Linked DNA regions of Notamacropus eugenii. Each later gene encodes a partner of the first gene's protein in a complex. Links are inferred from orthologs where the notes say so. Each region holds a gene or a part of one and is shown on either strand. Other genes may lie near its edges. The genes, in order: CDHR5 and ANKS4B.

What was found.
Region 2: CDHR5 (region 1) and ANKS4B share a complex: the UniProt entries of both Homo sapiens proteins name them as parts of the IMAC/intermicrovillar adhesion complex. The link is inferred for Notamacropus eugenii from reciprocal best matches to the Homo sapiens genes CDHR5 and ANKS4B.

The regions. Positions count from the first base shown.
Region 1 is NC_092873.1:27,702,650-27,712,326, forward strand, and holds the start of CDHR5 (cadherin-related family member 5), read left to right. Parts: upstream 1-5,796; 5' UTR 5,797-5,891; coding exon 5,892-5,967; intron 5,968-6,210; coding exon 6,211-6,389; intron 6,390-6,589; coding exon 6,590-6,640; intron 6,641-6,726; coding exon 6,727-6,819; intron 6,820-6,918; coding exon 6,919-7,020; intron 7,021-7,240; coding exon 7,241-7,351; intron 7,352-7,697; coding exon 7,698-7,868; intron 7,869-8,635; coding exon 8,636-8,726; intron 8,727-8,866; coding exon 8,867-8,964; intron 8,965-9,677. UniProt on the Homo sapiens protein: Intermicrovillar adhesion molecule that forms, via its extracellular domain, calcium-dependent heterophilic complexes with CDHR2 on adjacent microvilli. Thereby, controls the packing of microvilli at the apical membrane of epithelial cells.
Region 2 is NC_092874.1:397,908,527-397,918,265, reverse strand, and holds the start of ANKS4B (ankyrin repeat and SAM domain-containing protein 4B), read left to right. Parts: upstream 1-5,506; 5' UTR 5,507-5,586; coding exon 5,587-5,750; intron 5,751-9,739. UniProt on the Homo sapiens protein: As part of the intermicrovillar adhesion complex/IMAC plays a role in epithelial brush border differentiation, controlling microvilli organization and length. Plays a role in assembly of the complex.

The DNA.
Region 1 (9,677 bases):
GGTGTTCCCAGTCTAATGGGGAGAAAAAGGGCAAGCGAGAGAGTTCACACCAACAACACATGGTGGTTCTGAGCTCTAATGGGCCAGAAGGATGGAGGAGTGAGCCACAGGAGGGAAGCTAGTGTGAGACAAGGCATGCTTTGGCCTTCAGAAGTGGGAAAAGATTGTATTCACTGAGTATATGCATTATAAAATAAGGAAGGAGGGAAACACCGATTTACTTTTTTTCTTTGGTCATCATGCCAAACACTTCCGTATCGGTCATGATGTGAAAGAAATTAAAAAACTCCACCTCAAGAAAAATAAAGAAAAGTCTACTTCAGTCTGTATTCAGACACTCTCAGTTCTTTCTCTGGGGATGAAGAATATCCTTCATCCTAAGGCCTTCAAAGTTGTCTTGGATCATTGTATCGGTGAGAATAGCTCAGTCATTCCCGGCTGATCACCTTATAATACTGCTGTCACTTTGTACACAGTGCATTTCACTTTGCACCAGCTCATGTAAGTCTTTCCAAGCTTTTCTGCTCATCGTTTCTTTTAGTACAATAGTATTCCAACGTAGTCACCTATGTCCAATTCTTTGCCCCCATAAATGAGCTGATAGAAATATTTTTGTGCATATAGGTCCTTTTCTTTTTTGTTTTTTATCTCTTTCGGGATAGAGACCTAGCAGCTGTCGGTTGGTTGTTGTCCTTGGTTCTTAAAGACCAAAATGACATTGTGTCTGACTGTGACTGATTGGACCAATACAAGAATGGTTCCCCGCAGGTCGGGCACAAAGAGTCCATATGAACATTTGGGGAGGATCCTCTAAATTTATGCATCTTGTATTCCTTTTGAACTGCTTCAATTCTGCTTCATTCATAAAGAACAGCATCTTCTCTGATGAGAACACACTATGCTAACTGGTCCTGTGTCTGTCTCCCATAATCAATTTCAAAGTTCTTCAGAGAGACCTTGAGAGTGTCCTTGTATCACTTCTTCTGACCACCATGTGAACGCTTGTCCTGTGTGAGTTCTCCATAAAAGAGTCTTTTTTGGCAAGCACACGTTTCGCATTAGAACAACATGGCCAACCAGGGAATGCATGGTTTTGTAACCCTTTGGGCAGAGTTCCAAATTGTGCTACACAATGGCTGAATCAGGTCATAACTCCACCAACGGTGCATTAATGTCTCATTTTCCCCACATCCCCTCCAACATTGTTCATTGTCCTTCTCTGTCCTATTAACCAATTTAATAGGTATGAGGTAGCACCTTAGAATTGTTTCAATTTTCATTTTTCCAATCAATACGGAGTTTTGTTCAGTTGGCTATAGATAGATTTGATTACTTCATCTAAAAACTGTTCATATCTTTTAATCGTTTATCAATTGGGGAATGACTCTTGCTTTTATAAATTTGACTCAGTTCTTTATATGTTTGAGAAATGAGGTCTTCACCAGAGAAACTTGCTCCAAAATTTTTTTCACCATTACTATTGCTAGTGGTTTTTCCCTCCATCCTGTCCCTCCTCAAGTGCTTTGCTTCTGACTGCTCCTTTCCCAATCTGCCCTCCTTTCTATCACCTCCCTTCCCCTCCTTTCCTGTAGGGTAAGACAGATTTCTGTACTCAACTGGATGTGTATGTTATTTCCTCTTTGAGTCAGCTATGATGAAAGTAAAGTTCACTCGCTCCCCATCACTAATTATACTCAGGATTATACTCAGTCTTGCTGGATAGGTTATTCTTGGTTGCAAAGCAACAGAATCCTGCCTCACTGCGTCCATCTCTCTGACTAGCTGCCGGCTCCCTTCCCTCTTTCCTGTTGACCTTACCTTCTAGGTTGTCTTTGGCTAGAAAGATTATTTCCCTCCATCCTTTTGTGGGTTCTGCTGCTCCAGGAATTGTTTTGGGACATTATTTAAAGGTGCTGAGAGGCAAGCACCTGCCTTTTCTCCACCGGCTTGGCTCCACTTCTCTCCTCTGAAACACACATTTATTAAGTACCTGTACAAGATGCCAGGCACTGTGCTGAGTACTTTACAAATATTATCTCTTTGGATCCTCATAATAATCTTGGAGGGGGGCGCTGCTATTATTCCTATTTGACAGTTAAGGAAACTGAGGCTGAGAGGATAAGTGACTTGCCAGGGTCACATAGCTAATAAGCCTCTGAGGGAAGATCAGTGCCACTATACTGTACCTATGGCATCTTTTCATCATCTTCCTAGACAAGGGAAGAAGGGCCATCAACAAACATTCACACACGTCTTTCTTTTTTTTTTTACTTTAAAATTTCTTTATTCTTGATTAAAGAATGTACACTGAGCTATTCACCAGCTACAAAAAATAAATGTTCAATAATAATTTCCAGAGCTGCATTATACATAACTCTGGGGTTCAACAAGTATCTTTTACAGTCAAATTAAATAGTATTTGAAATATATCAAGACATAAAGTTCACTCAAACTTCAAATAATGGTAAATGAATCCCTGAATTAAAAATCTCTGGTCTGCCCATGATTAACTACTTTAATTTACTACTGTTAAGTGTTAGATTTTTTTAAACAGTAAATATACTTCATACTTGTCTTATACTCAAATATGCCATGAGTCAAATTAGACCTCTGAAGTTACTGTCTTTAGTTACAGGACATTCACTTTATGGAGAAAAATGGCTATGGTTTAATAATAAAAAAAAAAATCTACAAAGGGATAATCAGTTAAGGGAAAGCAGTTATACCTGTTCACCTCTAACTCAAGCCCCTCAGAGCATTCTGATTGCTACACCTGTTTCTTACGCATAGAAAGACAACAGCGATTTCTTTAGCCTATCAATTCAGGAAGGGAACCTCTAGGTTCTGATGAAGACACCAAATATATGTTAAGTGTAATGTGTAAAGGAGACCTATGGGGAAAGCAAGGATTTTGTACTAAATGATACTCTGAACTAGCAACAACTATCAAAGTTAAATAGTTTTTTTGAGGGGGCAATTTGATGAAAACTGAGCATTTGGGGGTGAAATTCACAGAAATAGGCATAACTTGCACATATTCTACTCTTCTATATGCAGTAATTTTTTATATATTATTGTAGATTCCAGTTTGTGGTTTCTTCATAATTTAAAAAGCCACATGGGTCTTCAATACTTGGTATTGTTTATTTATTCACTTTCCCAAAGTATTCTTTGGAAGCATTCAGAGATGGCTTGATCGTAAGCGAATTTGGTGTCCAATTTGCTGGACAGACCTCTCCATGTACTTCCACAAACTGGAACGCCTTCACCAAACAAAGAGTTTCTTCCACACTTTGGCCCACAGGGAGATCATTGATACTCATGTGTTTGATAACTCCGTTAGGGTCAATTAAGAAGAGACCTCTTAATGCAAGGCCAGGTCCTTCAAGCAGAACACCATAGTCCTGGGAAATTTGTTTGGTTAAATCTGACAGGAGCAGAATATTCATATGGCCTAAACAACCACTATTTCTTGGTGTATTTATTCAGGCCAGATGGCTAAATTGGGAATCCACTGAAACCGCAACGACTTCACAGCTCACATCATGAAATTCGTTAGCTTTGTCATTAAAAGCAACAATTTCTGTCAGACGCACAAAAGTGAAATCAAGAGGATAGAAGAAAAGCACCAAATATTTGCCTTTAAAGTCATCAAGGCTGATTTCTTTGAATTCTCCTTTGACAACAGCTGTACCCTTAAAATATGGAGCATGTTGGGTTACAGCAGGCACATAAGTTGAAGAACTGGTGCTGAAGGAAAATTTTGAATTGGCCAGGAATGTGTTTCTAGCAGCAGCAGGTCTAAAGGCTGCAGAAATGCCCAAAGGAAAGGAGTTCACATGGTGAGCAACCAAAGCCCGAAGTAACCTTCCCAAGGAAACCACCATCTTCCAAGCCTCACACGCACTTCTTTGCCTCTCTACCCTGACCACCCCTCCAGCACAAATGCCCCCCTGCCCATAGAATCCAGGTAGGAACTCCCCACCCTCCTGGGCTGGGGGATGTTGGTGGTGACCCCATAGGCTAGCATGGACATTCCTGTTGGGGTGATGGGGTTGCCAGTGGAATCACTTGAGAAAATTCCAACTTTTCTAGCTGGTGAATGAAACAAGATTACAAAAGAAGTTACTGATTCAATCAAAGGAAAATGGGGAAAGCAAACCTAAGGTCTGGGTCTTGTGTCTTCTGAGACAGAGCACAGAGGCTACCTTTCTCCTGCTCACTCCATTGTCATCTTGCACTTTCTCAGGAGTAGAATGGTCTGCCAGCCAAAGGAGGCTTAAAGTGGGAGAGGCGGGGTGGGGGCACAGAAGGCAGTAATTATACTAAGTCAGCTGCCTGGGACCGGCCAATCCGCCAAAGTCTGGGGGGCATTCAGCTCTTTGGGAGTTTTCTTTGTACTCTGACTTTTCTATCTTTCTAACTTTGCTTAGAAAGGAAGCCTAGTAGCCCTGACCTCCTTAGCCTTGGAATAAAACCCTCTGTAGCTAATCTCCAGTGAACGTTCCCCACCTCAATCAGCCCCCAGTGGGTGGAGATAAGTATGATCAGAGAGGATCAATCTTGCCCTCTCTCTCCCTGAGTTCTAGAGCCCTGCACTTGGAGTCAGGAGGACCTGAGTTCAAACCCAGCCTCAGACATTTACTAGTTAAATGACCCTGGACAAGTTGCTTCACTCTATTTGCCTCAGTTTCCTCATCTGTAAAATGAGCTAGAGAACCAAATGGCAAACCCCTCTAGTATCTGTGCCAGGAAAACCACAAACGGGGTCACAAAGCATCAGATATGACTTGATAACAACAAACAGAACAGTCTGTGAGAGTCAAATGCCATCCTATCTGGACGTTTCTATGTATTCTCCAATGCTTAATACAGGACTAGGGAACTTACAGCCTCGAGGCCACGTGTGGCCCTCTAGGCCCTCAAATGCAGCCCTTTACTGTATCCAAACTTCACAAAATGAATCCTCTGTGCACAAATGCTCTGTGAAGTTTGGATTCAAAGTCGCACTTGGGAGCCATGAGACCACAGGTTTCCCCACTCCTGGCTTAACACAATGCCAGGCATATATTAGGTACTTGAGAAAGACTAGTTGACTATTTGTAAACTTTAGACCACTATAGAAATGTGAGTTACTGGTTTTGGTTGTTTTTGAGTGATTCAGTTCATAATGAAGAACAGAAAATTTCCCGAGCTCCTTTGCCAGAGGGCCTGTGCAGGTATCTGGGGGTCCATCCATTGCTCCCTCCCCTATGCCTGAAATGAGCAGCCTGATTCCCTTCCCAGCCCCAGCCCTGACAACCAGTCTCCCATACAAATGACCTCTCCTGTCATTCCCAGCTGAAGGAGGTCTCATCCTCTCACGTCTTCCCAAGGATTGGGCCCTCCGGGCACAGCAAGGGAACACAAAGTTCTTTTTTCCGAAGTTGAGGCCACTAACTAGTTAATGGTCTGAAATGAGGAGGGAGGGACAGGATGGATGCTCCAGAAGAACGGGCAGCCTGGGAAGCCCTCAAAGGTCCAGGGCGACTGTTTCATTTCCTCCTGTGTTCGGTGGAGGGACAAAGGGCAGGGATCTTCTGATTCTCTACAACCCAGACTCAAGCTTGTGTTCCCCAACACCTCCCCAGGGCCAGGGCCAGTCAGAGGTCGGCGTCCCAGGCTCTGTTCTGGGGTGCTGGGAGGGCTGAGACCTTGGGGGTGGGGGCGTGTCAGAGCCCTGGCTGTAGGTGCCATAAATAATCGTCATTTGCCCGTCTCAAAGGTCGCTCTCCGTTCCTTCGTGCCAGGAGAGCAGCAGGGCAGGGCCGGCTGAGCCAAGCCAGGCTGAAGGATCTTTTCTCCCCTTCCTCAGAGGCTCCCCGGGTGGAGGGCTGGGTTGCTCTCCCACCATGGAGGCCTCTGGGTGGACGCTGGGGCTTCTGCCACTGCTGCTGCTTCTCCCTGGAGCTGAGGGCCAGACCCAGGGTAGTGGGGTTGAAAAGAAGGCAGGGCTTGGGGGAGAGAGTCAGGGAGGCAAGGGAGATGGTGAAGGGCAGGAAAGGATGGGGGCTGGGGGGTAGGAGGGGCTGAGGGAGGAGAGGCTGGGAGCAGGGGGCTGGGGGGAGGAGGGTTTGAGGGAGGAGAGGCTGGGGGCAGGGATGGAGGGGGCTTCCAGGGAAGTTCAGGGGTTAGTGCTGATTCAGAGTGGGAATCCCCTCCCCCCCACAGTGTGCTCTGTGAATCAGACGCTGCTCTCTGTGACTGAGAATGAGCTCCCTACCGAACCCCTAGCCACGGTCACAGCACCCCTGGGGCAGACAGTGGTTGTGAGTGACTTATCCAGTCCTAAGGACATCTTCGATATTGTGAATGGTCAGCTGAGGCTCACCAGGGCCCCTGATTATGAGGTGAGCCAGGATCCAACCCCCTATGCCATCCCTTTTCCCCTTCCTGGGTCCTCTAGGTATTCCCCTATGTTCACCCCACCTCAGGCAGGGAGGCAGGAAGAGGGACCCCGCTCAATCTGTCACATAAGAGTGTGGATGTCCAGAGGCCTGGTTTGTTTTGAGAATGACTGGTTCTGCATTCCCTTCTTTCTCCCACCCAGACACATACCGTGTTGACTGCAATGTTAGAATGCAAGGAGGGGTCTGAAGTGGTGAGTGTGGGGGCTAGGCATCGGGATGGGGAAGTGGGTTGGACTGAAGGAATGACTGCTGACCTCTAACCCCTGGGTTGCCCCAGGTGACCACTCTGCCTGTGATTGTGGAGGTTCTCAATGTCAATGACATGGCCCCGGTGTTTGCCTTTTCCAGTAAGGCCTGGAATGTCAGTGAGGTGAGCTACACAATGCACAGGGTGGTGTGGTGGGGACTGGGGTTCAAACCAGGGATGGAGCTGAGCTGTTCCCACTCAAACTTCCTAAATTTTGGGCAGAACACCAACGTGGGGACTACTGTCATCTCAGCCACAGAACTCACAGCCATAGACAAGGATGGGGACACGATCTTCTACAATCTCTCAGGGCAGAGCCCCTCGGTCAGTTGACCTGGCTTCCTCCTGGGCACCCTCTCTCCCTCCCCCAACCCCTCCAGGACTCCGGAGCATCTTTCTCCCCCCAACTCCCAGTCAGACCCTGGCGCTAGGCTCCACTGGGGTATATGACTCAGCCACTTACCTGAGATGGGGGGGCGTTGGGGGGAAAGAGAAGGGAGCATTGGGTTCCAACTGGTTCCTGCCCCCTCCACTTCCACCTCAGGATGCAGACCTGGTTTTCTCCCTGGTTGGGGTTAACTTCCCTGCCCTTCAACTGACCCGGGCTCTGGACTACGAGAAGACCCCAATCCTGGTCTTCCACCTTCTGGCAAGAGTGAGTTCCTCCCCTTCCTGGGTCCCCAAGGAGTCTGGCTGTGTGGTTCTAGGTAGTCCTGGCCGCTGTCTAGGCCTTGACTTCTCCCTCTATAAAATGAGGGATGCTTCCTCAGGCTCTTTGAGCTCTATCTATGTGCTGGAGCCTTTGGGCACATAGGTGTCCTGACAGACCAAAACGGCAAAGCCTATGCCCAGTGACCCCCAGTTCCCAAGTAGACCTCTTTATCCTCTAAGACCAGGAGCTTTGAAGGGGATCATAGAAAAGAGTACCCCCGCACCAATATGGAGTGGTCAGTGAGGCCCTGCTGTATCCCACTCATGTGTGGCTGGGGTCTCTGCCACAGGACACTTCAGAGCCAGCGGTGAAGCCCAGCCACACCTCCACAGCCACAGTCATAATTCAAGTGATACCTGCAGACATACGCCCTCCATGGTTCTTACCCTGTGTGTTCACTGATGGGCGAGTCTGCATCAATGCACAGTACCGAGCAGCTGTGCCGACTGGCTCCATACTGGTAATGTCCATGCTTGGGGTGGGGGGCAGGGAGGCATCTCTCCTCACATGCTCTCCTAACCACCCATGCTCAGTAGCCAGAAGGGAGGGCCAGTGAAGGTCTCCCAAAGGGCTCCATTGATCACAGTGTCCATCCCTGGGGGCTCCAACCTGACCCCAACTGGACTTCAGAGAGTTCCTGAAAAGAGTGAGCAGTACCTGGACCTTCCTGCCAAGGAAGCAGGGCTGAGGCCACTGGTGGGCATGTCTGGGAGGATACAGGAAGGACTTCCTTGAGAATCTGGGCCAAATTAAGAGAGAAAATAATTATTAAGTGACTAGGGCTGGAGACTATTTCCATCCAGAGTCTGACACAGCTGAGATGAGGAGGATGAGAACCTTGGAGACTTTCAGATCCTTTGGAGACTTGTGCCCCGAACCTCATATTCTTGCATGTTTCTGACCCCGCTCAAGCTTGGGTCCAGTCCCCAGCCCTAATCATTTAATAACAATTTTCTCTCCTAATATGACCTAGTTTCTCAAGGAAGTTCCCTCCATAATCTCCCAGATGAGCCCACCAGTGGCCTTATTTCTGCCTCCTCGGCAGACAGGTCTGGGCACTGCTCACTTCCTGCAGGAAATTTGTACAGGCCAATTAGGGTCAGTTTGGGACTCAAGAGATGGACACTGTAGAAGGCTACCAGTCCTCTCACCTGGCCAGTCTGTGTGACTAGGGGAGGCTGGGTCAGAGACACCACCCCCACTGGTTCTCCTCTTACCTTCCTGTAGACATTACCCCTGACCTTCGAACCCGGGCCTGTATATGCAATTGATGGAGACACTGCCATCAACGAACCAATCAGATACAGCATTATTGCAGGTGAGATCCATCCTACCCCTGCCAACCCATCAGAGTCTAGGCCCTCTGTGCTGCCTGCCCACCACACTATCTCTGGGTGGAGGAGGGGGCAGGCACAAAGATGACTGAAGGTGACCTCCCTTCCCCCCAAACTTCCCCAGGGAATGCAGATGATACATTTCAAATTGACGTGGACTCAGGCAACGTCACCATGGCCAAAGCTGTCCCTGTCCCCAAGACTTTCAACCTGGTAGTCCAGGTGAGAAGCAGGTCTAGGTATGCTCCCCTTCTTAGCCTATGCCCTCCCCAACTGGGAGGGTGTCCCTCTAGCTGTGGCCTGGGCCCTCTGCTCTTCTCCCTGTTTCACCTGGAGATCTTATCAGCAACCATGGATTAATGACCATCTCTGTGCTGAGGATTCTCAAATCAATCTATCCTTCCCGCCCCCACTTCCCAACTGACCTCCAGTCTTCCATCTACCCTTCAGACATCTTGAACTGGACGTAGACATCTGAAACTCAACATGTCCAAAACTGAAGTTCTTTTTCCCCAAACCTTCTGTATTAGTGTGGAGGGTACCCTTCTCCTGGTCCCTCAGGGTCCCAACTTTGACTGGACTCCTGGACTCCTGACTTTTACCCCCCAGCTCCAATGTGTTGACTAAAGTCTGTAACTTTCACCTCTGCAGCATGTCTTGTAGATTTCACTTATCCAGCACCTCTTGTAGATTTCACCTCTAAGTATCTCTTGTCTTCTATTTCACTTCTGTCTCTTGTAGATTTCACCTCTAAGTTTCTCTGGTCCATTTCACCTCTAAGTATCTCGTGTCTTCTATTTCACTTCTATCTCTTGTAGATTTCACTTATCCAGCACCTCTTGTAGATTTCACCTCTAAGTATCTCTTGTCTTCTATTTCACTTCTGTCTCTTGTAGATTTCACCTCTAAGTTTCTCTGGTCCATTTCACCTCTAA
Region 2 (9,739 bases), on another chromosome or scaffold:
GCTTTAGGTAGAGGGATATACAGTGTGCTTTCCACTCTACCATAAGTTGTCTGACTGGGCAGCTTCTAGCCATCAAAATTTACCTTCCTTTGGAGAGGAGAGGGAAGGGACAGGATGAGCTGAGTTACCCTACTGGCTAGGTCCCCATTCAGGCAGCTCGGACTACTCACAGGGTTGTTTGTCCTTAGTGTTCGAGGAGGATCATGACATCAGGGAAATGATGACATGACTTTCAGTTAGTTTTGATTTGAGTGAGTACATTGATAATGCATTTTTGCTTACTGTTAATATAATTTTGCTTTTTAATGGGAAGATCTTCCTTACCCATTAATGGACCTGGGAAGATTTGTAGGAAGGCTCATACCTTTTGTTAATTTTCTAATGAGGTATTGACTCTGAAGGGTTGTGATGCCCTCTGGCTCTAAAAAATGTATAAATACTCTGAGGGTGAAGTTTTACTTTGGGGCTTACTGACTGGAAGTATTTGTTTGGCTTGATGAGATTCTGAGAAGGCACTAAGCAGCCCCTCTAGCTTTGAAAACCCAGATGTTGGTGCTTCCCTTTCTGGAAAATATATCTGAGACTGTGACAGCCCTCCCCCCACAAAGAAGGGGTGCTTGTTGCTACAGTGAGAGAGGGCTGTGCAAGGTCACCAGCCTCACTTTCTCCTCTAGAGCCATCTGGATCAAGTGGCCAGATATTCATCAGGATGACTAGAGATGGCCCAGGATGCAATGGGAGACCCCGACCCTTTTTAGGCTAAGGCCTTGTACACAGAAAGGCATGAGGGACCGAAGAGAAGACAACATATGAGACTGTGGAGGTATGGATGGTAAATGAAACCATGTGAGTTGATGATTCACTAGTAGAATTTTTTCAGAGAAAAGCCAAGGAACCTAATCAAGTCATTAGCATCCTTTTCTATTGATAATCACTTGCATATTATTTTAAGTTTGATTTATAATTCAGTCTGCCATAGTGAAAGAAAATGGCAGCCAATAAAAGCTTTAAAGAGGTCATCTATTCTGTAATTTTACATGGATTTTGATGACCTTTGTTATCTGAAAAGGGGTAACAAGTATATGATTATCCTGATTGAGACTTTCAGGTCAGAATAATTTATTGGTATGAAATCTGAAAAATGGAGAAGAAAGAGAGAACTTTCCCTAGATCACAAAAGCCAATTAATTGCAAATGTAGAATTAAAATTCATAGCACTTACTGCGAATGTCTCTTCTCCCCCCGCCCCTCTCCATTTTTCTTCGTTATAAAGCACATCTAAATCATGAGAGGGTTGGTTTCTTTCTCTCTTTTCTTTTCTTTTTTGGCTGGACTTAAAAAACAAAAAACAAAAAGCCCTCTTTATTGTTTCTGGTCCTAATTAGACTGTAATACCGTCTGGGATTTAGCATTTTTAAAATATGCAGTTGAGAGATGCCAAATAATACCTCATGCAAACCAGATGGTACAATAGCAACTTTGTCTTTTATTCTGGCAGGAAAATAGGACTGTGAATAGTTTGAAACTTATGTGAACAAATTAAGTCCCACCAGCCCTTCAGAAGCGTTAAAATTCCATGAGTCAATCTACCCACCTAGTTTTTCTCTTACATTTTAATATGAAAGAGAAAAAAGAATGGGTAGGCAATGGTAATGATGTGAGGAAAAAGTGTCTTTTTACATCCTTTTAATAGGAAAACAAGGCAATTATTCTTAGTATCTGAAATCTTGTGAACAAGAAAAGTCTTATTCAAGTTGGTTGAAACAGTTTTGGCCGAATGGCAAAAAAGAAAACAGAGATCTAGCAGTCATTTTCTGAAGAGTTCATTTGACAACAATGTGCTTATCTGAACAGATAATGAGATTTTATAGGATAATGCACAAGTTCACAACAGATTGCAAGGTAGCGAAGTGAGGTATTGTTTGTACTTTCCTATGGGTCATGTTGTTAAGGGTTTTTTTTGAAACTCCTTTATTTCCTGGTTGGTTTTGCCTTAAATGAAATACAAAACCAAGGCAACATGAATTGAAAGGCAGATTTCCTCTCATTGCCTTTTTCCTTATTACCAAAATATGTGTGGGTTTCTGTTCCATGCAAGCAAGTTTCTTTTATAATCAGAAATGAAAAGCTTTAGAGACTGGAGAGAAACTGCTTATTGAAAACTAGATCTCTTGAGGGCAAGAGAGAGTATACTTATTACATGAATATATGTATTTCTGGGCCACTCAAGCCACTGAATTTCTCTTACAGTTTAGCAATGAATAGCTTTATAAAACAAAGGGAAAAAAATCTAGTTGGAAGTTTGCTAGCAAGTTTCTCTCAGGGTGGATTAGAAATTTGTACACATATGAATTTGTAATACCCTTTGCTTTCTTCTCTCTGTCCTCCCCACCCTCTACCTAAATGACCACAAAGGAATGAAATACCTTGCAGTTCCTAATAAAATAATTTTACTACTGCTACTTTTAGTCAATTCAAATTGGACTCTTTAATATATCTGACCCAGAATGCACATGCTCATACTTGATATCTTTCCTTTAGTTAGATTTACAGGAGAAACTGCAAATCTGTGGGAATAAAAAACCCTGCAGACTAAACCCTGAATTGAAAAAGTTAGTGCTGGCACAGCAAGAGTTACCAGTTGAAGATATGGGAAAACCTACCAAATTAGATCACTTCAATTAAATCAACTAAATCTCTTTTTTTAACCTTTTCCCATGGCCAGAAGTGGCATTAAGAATGGACTGACAAGCTATCCCATCAGTCAGGGTTGGCCAAGTTAGAATGATAAGATAATAAAAACAATACGAACAACAATAATGCATCTTTTCAAAACACAGAGAAGGTAACTGGATATCAGAATTAGGAAGAGACAGCAGAACACTGTCCAAATACACGGCTGAGTCTAACCAAAGTTCCAGAAGGAAATTGAATGCTATGAAATTGCAGCAACCAAGCTTGACTTGAAAGAAGAAATAGAACAAGGCAGTTCCTTACCTTTTTGGAAGAAGTGGAGGATTATGAAGTTTGAAATAATATTGACAATGTTGGACTTTTTTCCGTTGTGTTGCTTTGTTGAACTGATTTCTATCTTTTAAAAATTTTTTTGTTATAAGGATAGCTCTCTGTGAAGGGAAGGAGGAGAGAAAAATTGGGAAATATAGGTACTGTAAAAACAAAAGATACCATAAAATTTGTTTTGGAAAGAAATGCGAAAAAAATATTGGATTTTTTTAAAAAAGGAAAAACAACAACAAGAAATTCCACAAATTTTTTAAAAAGAAATAAGAAAATTTAGAATAGAAAACAGGTCTGAGATTAATCAATAAACCAGAGCTTCTACTAAAGAATTCAGCAAAACAAATGAGTAAGTAGGTAGTTAATAAATGTGGATGGGTGAAAGCCAGTTTGATTGATAAGGCCGTAGATGCCCCCCACAACCCCCAAGCAAGTATACAAAAACCCAGACATTAAGCTCCATTTTCAACCTTTTCCTGGAATGGTACTATTAGAATTAAATTTCCTTTTTCCCTTCTCCTCATTTCTAGTTCCCTGCTCATGTCCCTCCTTCTTCATTAGGTAATTTTATAAATACTCTCACTTTTTGGGTTCTATAGAAAACAAGTCAGCCTTACCTTGGTAAGATACTGCTTCTTTTCTCAAACAATCTATGAATTTTAGCCTGAGGGTTTCTATCAACTGAAGTATGGATCCTTCCTCCTCCCACCCCTGCTACCTGGTGCTACCCCACTGCAGGTACAGGGGCTGTACATTGAGATTGTCCCTGAAATCAGCTTTCTTGCCCTATGAGGGGAAATAAAGTTTATTAATTCTGTGTAGGATGATGCTTTTCATCTAGATTCTCCTACAATACAAAAACATATGTCTATAAAACCATTGAAACTGTAAAAAAGGAATGAAAGATTTGGGATTCAAAACTATAGATAAGGAAAATTTGGTAAAACAGAGCCAAAGGATAACATCGTTAGAAGAATTCATATTCTACAAAAGTCAAACTGACCTTGAGAAAAGGACTCAGAGATAAACTGAGGATTATTGATATCCTGGGAAAATGTTATTGATTTGAAAATTCTGACTACCGTACTGTAGGAACAATGCATGAAAATTATCTAGGAATATTGAAAATGGATGACAGAGTTCTGATCGATGGCAATCCTGGAGGACAGATAAGATCTTTAATCTCTAAGCAACACAGTAGTTAAACACCAAATTTCAATGTCTAATAATAGATACTGCAGGCAGAAAAGAGAGAGGCTTTTAGATATTAGGGAAAAGCTATTCAAATAACCTTTGGAATATGATATAATATCCCTCCCCCACCCCAGCCAAGGCAATCAGAATCCATCCCAAAATATGCAATGTGGAGCATCTTCATCAATAACAAAAGATTTCACCAAAAAAGGGACTGTAAAAAGAAGTGCTATTGATGCCTTTTTCTTGTTATATCACAGTCATTCAAGACATTCTTTCTTTCCCCAAAGCTTTCTCTTTCAAAGCCTTCCCAAAGAAAGCTATTGTCATCATTCTTTCTAAAGACACCAGAGACAAACAGGTTACTTGATCTAGAAATACTTCAAATGGGAGAAACGCAAGACAAGTAAATAAACAGTTAAGAAGCAAAAAAGAAATCCATATAATTAACAAATTCTCTCAAGGTTTGGGGGCAAGATATGGATATTGTTTTGGTTTTGGTTTTTTTAAAGAAAATTACATTGGTTGAGAGACAAAGAAAGATTATCTAGGGCCAAAAGAAATTAAAATGATTAAAATAGGAATGACAGTAAATTTAAATTGTGTGGATTAAAAGCTTCTTCATAAGTGAATCAACATTTCTGTTCGATTCATTCTTCATTCCCAGGTTAGCCATAACCCCTGAACAAAGTTAGCCTGCTCTAGGAGAATTTGTTCCTCTTTGCAACCAAATGACTCAGTTATCTCAAATACTCCTCCTACTGTTTACATGGCAACCAGGAAAAGGATCAAAGGTCAGCTTAAATCTCTAATTATTGTTGAGAAGTAGCTGAGAACGGAAGACCCATGAAACGTAAAAGCATCCCCCTGGAATAATGTCTTCTTTGTGACAGTGGGGGACAGAGAAAACAGAAGAGAGGAAAGCATAGTTTAAAAAGATACTTTCCCAATAAAATCTGGGGAGTAGTGCTAGATTATATGACAATGAAAACTGTCTCCTTTTGTTCAATGACTATATTGCCTATGTCACCTTTATGATAATCAGTTAGTGATGTAACCTCTGTTTCAGTTCCTTTTTCCCCCAAACTGTAAAATACTTGGGAGTGTGAAGGAAATAAAATAACCATTGGCAGCCATTCTGGAAGGAAAATTTCCTCTGTCAGATCTAAGTACTTTTCTGGCTTCCTCCAGGGAGGCAGACAGGTGATGAGCTTTGCCCTCATATTTCTACCTTATTGAAGGTATACTGCAGTTTATAGTCACTGATTAACCCCTCCCATTGAGGCAGGGCTGCTGGGTAGGCCTCTGCCTGGCAGAAGACTTAGGGCAAACACTCTGAGTGCTGGCTGAGGTAAGAGAAGAGCTGAATTTAAAATGTCCACCCGGTACCACCAAGCTGCGACTGATGGCTACCTGGAAATTCTGAAAGAGGCTACCAAGCGAGATCTTAATCTGTCTGATGAAGATGGCATGACTCCCACACTCCTGGCAGCCTACCATGGCAACTTGGAAGCTCTGGAGATCATCTGTAGTAGGGGGTAAGTTTAGACTATAGTTTTTGATAAAGGCCAAGTTACTCAGGGGATTTTTTCACATGAGAGTAAAGTAAATGGCACGTGGGACAAATCCTACAAGTCTTTCCTGAAGTCTTTAAATAACTGCCTCCTTGGGAAATGGGGAAATCCTATAGTTAGCGCCTCTTCCTTGTGTTTTACAATTCTGAATGACAGGCCTATCTCAATAATAATGATTGTGATAATAATAATAGACATTTACCTAGATCCAGAAATGCATTTTTTTTTAACCATTGAGCTGATGCTAGGTTTTTTGTTTTATTTTGTTTTGCCATTGAGGATGGAGCAAGATGATCTGGTGATAATGGCAAAGAATAGATGATGTTTCTTTTATAAGCCAGAGACACTGGAATGTGTTGCCAAGGATAAATACTTAAAAATCTTTGCTGAATATTTTCAAGACGATAAACTCCGTGTATCTGGCATGATTTTAAAATGCAGTTTAAATGAGTAGGAGGTGGGGATAGGAGAGAAGCAATTCTATTATTTTATGAATCTTTTTACCCAAAAGTAAATGCTCAACTTTTAAGAAGTTCTATTTCCAAGAACATTACCAGCATAAATTCCAGTTTATAGAATTTTTATTTTCTCTTCACCTATGAAGTCGCTGGATGAAGTTGTTCCCTTCTTGAAGATCTGGTCCCTGACACCGTAGCGAGACCCAGTTTCAAAGTTGGATGGCAGGCTTATTTATGAGTCAATTAAATAAGCTATAAATAGGACTTTGAGTTTGCCTCACTATGGGAACTACTTCATCCAAAACTAGGCCTAAACAATGATCTCTCTTTGTTCTAATTGAGGCATTAGCAATTTGCTTAATTCTGAGGACCACCAATAGAACTAAGCAGTATATGTGTTGGGGGGAGTGCAATAAAGGGGGAGGGAGGGAGGGAGGGAGGAAAGGAGGGAGGGAGGGAGGGAGAGAGGGAGAGAGAGAGAGAGAGAGAGAGAGAGAGAGAGAGAGAGAGAGAGAGAGAGAGAGACAGAGAGAGAGACAGAGACAGAGAGAGAGAGAGAGACAGAGAGAGAGAGAGAGACAGAGACGGGGGGGGCATTACACAGAAAGAAAGGAGGAAAGAAATTGAAAAGATGTTTATGATGGAGAATATCAGGGTCAAGGCCAGCCCTAGACATAGTGGTGAAATTAGCAAAGTTTTACGTATTCTGTTCAACTTTGACATTGACTTCCCCCAACTCCCAATTATAGGGATGTCTCCCTTAGTCTGCTACTCTCCTGCTGTTCCTTGACTCCCTTACTCCTTAACCTTTCTCTGCTTCTCTGTGAAATTTATTTAACATCTACTCTCATTAGTTTCAAAGATGATCTAATAAACTAGCTTTCCCCAATGTGCTAATGGAAAAAGGCTTAAAAGCCATTCTGAGGTAAATTATATTAATGGGAGCTTTTTCCAGCTTTGTCCTCTAGTCCACTTGTAATCCACAGGTGATGATTTCAGATCAGAAAGGTAAGAATAGTTTTAGGCACTGAGCTTTCCATGCACCTCTAGGATGATGCCTATCCACTTATTTTCATATAGGATTAGCTTTGGGCAGAATCATTTCTTCAGGATCTACCTTACTCCAAGTACAGAAAAGAAAATAATCAAGGTGAGGTTACCACAGAATTCCTTGTATTCCACTGAAGATGCTAACTAATTCTCAATGAATAATAAAACAAGATTCAAAAGCCAGTCCCTACCAAAAAGGATTATTCACTTAGAAAGAGAAAAGGGGCCTTAACAAAATATAAGAACATTGATTAGCCAACACAGCACAATTGTGTCAGATTGTACGAAAGGTATTATGGGATGAATGGTAGCAAAGGGGGAAGATGAACCACTTTCATTGCATTATTCAAATCAGAAAAGAAAAGTAGGGGAAAAGAGTTGGAACCTCAGCTGAACACTTTCAAGGACTGCCAATCTCAGCACAATATATGACAAGGATTGGGATTAACATAGGGAGTTATAGTGGAGAGATGAGAGTGGGGAAGGAAAGGAATATGAAAAAGGAAGAGAAAAAATCATATACCTGAAATTTCATTCCCCAGGGATCTTTAAGAATTGGAGGAATAGTTGTCTAGGATAATTTATGTATAATCTTTCCTAGAAGCAAGGGTCTAAACTAACTGACCTTGAAGGTCCTCCATTCCAGCCTCAGAATTGAATAAGTAGATTCTTAGTCATATCCATAATGTGATAGAAAACATTAATGTGACTCAGTGACCAATGCTCTTTGACACAGGCACCCTTTGCCTGTGACACTGTCACATGGACTAAGTGACCAATAAAGAGATTGCTTTATCATCCCAAACAGCTTAGTCCCATTATCAGCTCAGCACATGTCCCAATTCAGAGATGACCTAAGGGAGATCAGTTCAGCTGCATGCATATTCCATGGGATGACCACCATTGCACATTTAAGTATGGAACTGAATAATACTTATCTTGACCAGCTTACTATAAACAGAATTAGAAGAAAGAAGTTGAAGCTGAGTGTAAGGATGGTTGATAGGTATTCCTTGGTGAGACAAGGGCATTGACAGTTGGTCTTATTAGACATTCCCAAACAATAAGAAACATCAATGCATAGAACATTTGGTAATCTAATATGGTGCTCAAGATAAGTAGTTCCAAAAAGATCACTATGAAAACAATTATACCTTATGCACTAACATTTATTGTACAGAACAAAGAGAAAAATTACAGTAGAACTTGATAAGATCTTCCAAAGTAAATCAGCACATACTTGGTTACTTAGTGACTTCAATGCAAAGGTAGGACAAGGTAACAATGACAAGAAATATATTGAAAAAAAGGATCAGCAAAAAAGAATGAAAGAGTACAAAGATGAAGCCTTAAGCCTAAATGCCATGATTTTCTTCAAGAAAAGATTCATTAAGCTCTAGACGTGGTGAGAACCAAACAGCATCACAAAAGAATTTATTATCTTTTTAATAACTGGAAATGCTTCATTACTAGTGTGGGAGCAATTCCTGACCAGTCAGTCTGTAGACTTGTGAGATCAAAGATCAAAATGAATACAACACAAGGGGAAAGAATAAAAGGAAATAAAACATATGGAATGCAGTTGAAACAATTTAAACCTGACTTATAAAACAAGTTATTTTATAACTTGTTTATGTTATACAAACAAGTTATAGGGAGGAGAAATGAGGCTGGTGACCTTGCACAGATTTCCCTCACTCAAAACAAATTCAAGTACAAGTCACATCATCATTTCTCTGATGGCATGGTCTTCTTCGGCAACAAAGAATGAACCCAATGAAAAAGGTATGATAATGGTAGGAAGGGCATTGACACAGATAATAATTTTAACTTTAAACCAATTATCATAACATGGAAACTCAAAGAGTCTAAAGTCTTAGTCAGCAAATTCTTGATTTATTCACCAAAGAGAAAGAAATAGTAGCCAGAGGAAGCACTAACCTAGAATGAAACTCATTTATAAAATCTTGTTTAGTGGATGATGCAAGATTGTGAGCAGTATATACTGATAAACCAGAGAAACAGTGGACTTTATCAGAGAGAAGCAATATAGATTAGAACCAATTTAAAGAAAGTTTGACAATAGACCCAACCAAACAAGTTCATCCCAAGAAAATTAGGGATGAGAAAGGAGAGAGAACAAAAAATTTAAAAAATGAAAAAGATTTATAAGGATTTTTTAAAATCACAAATATCTTTCATCAATAAGGACAGAACCACCATACTTATACTCATAGAGGAGACAGAAATGATGCTAGAGAGAAGCAAGGTGGGAAAGCAACTGGATTGGATCAAGTATACATTGATGAGATTGATTCTGGAAGTGACACAATTATGAGGACAGGATGAGAGCAATTCATCTCTAGGCAAGGAAGATACCAAAGATACAACTATTTTTTGCATCTGTGAGAAGAGTGTAAGAAGAGAAAAGGACTTAAACCAGAT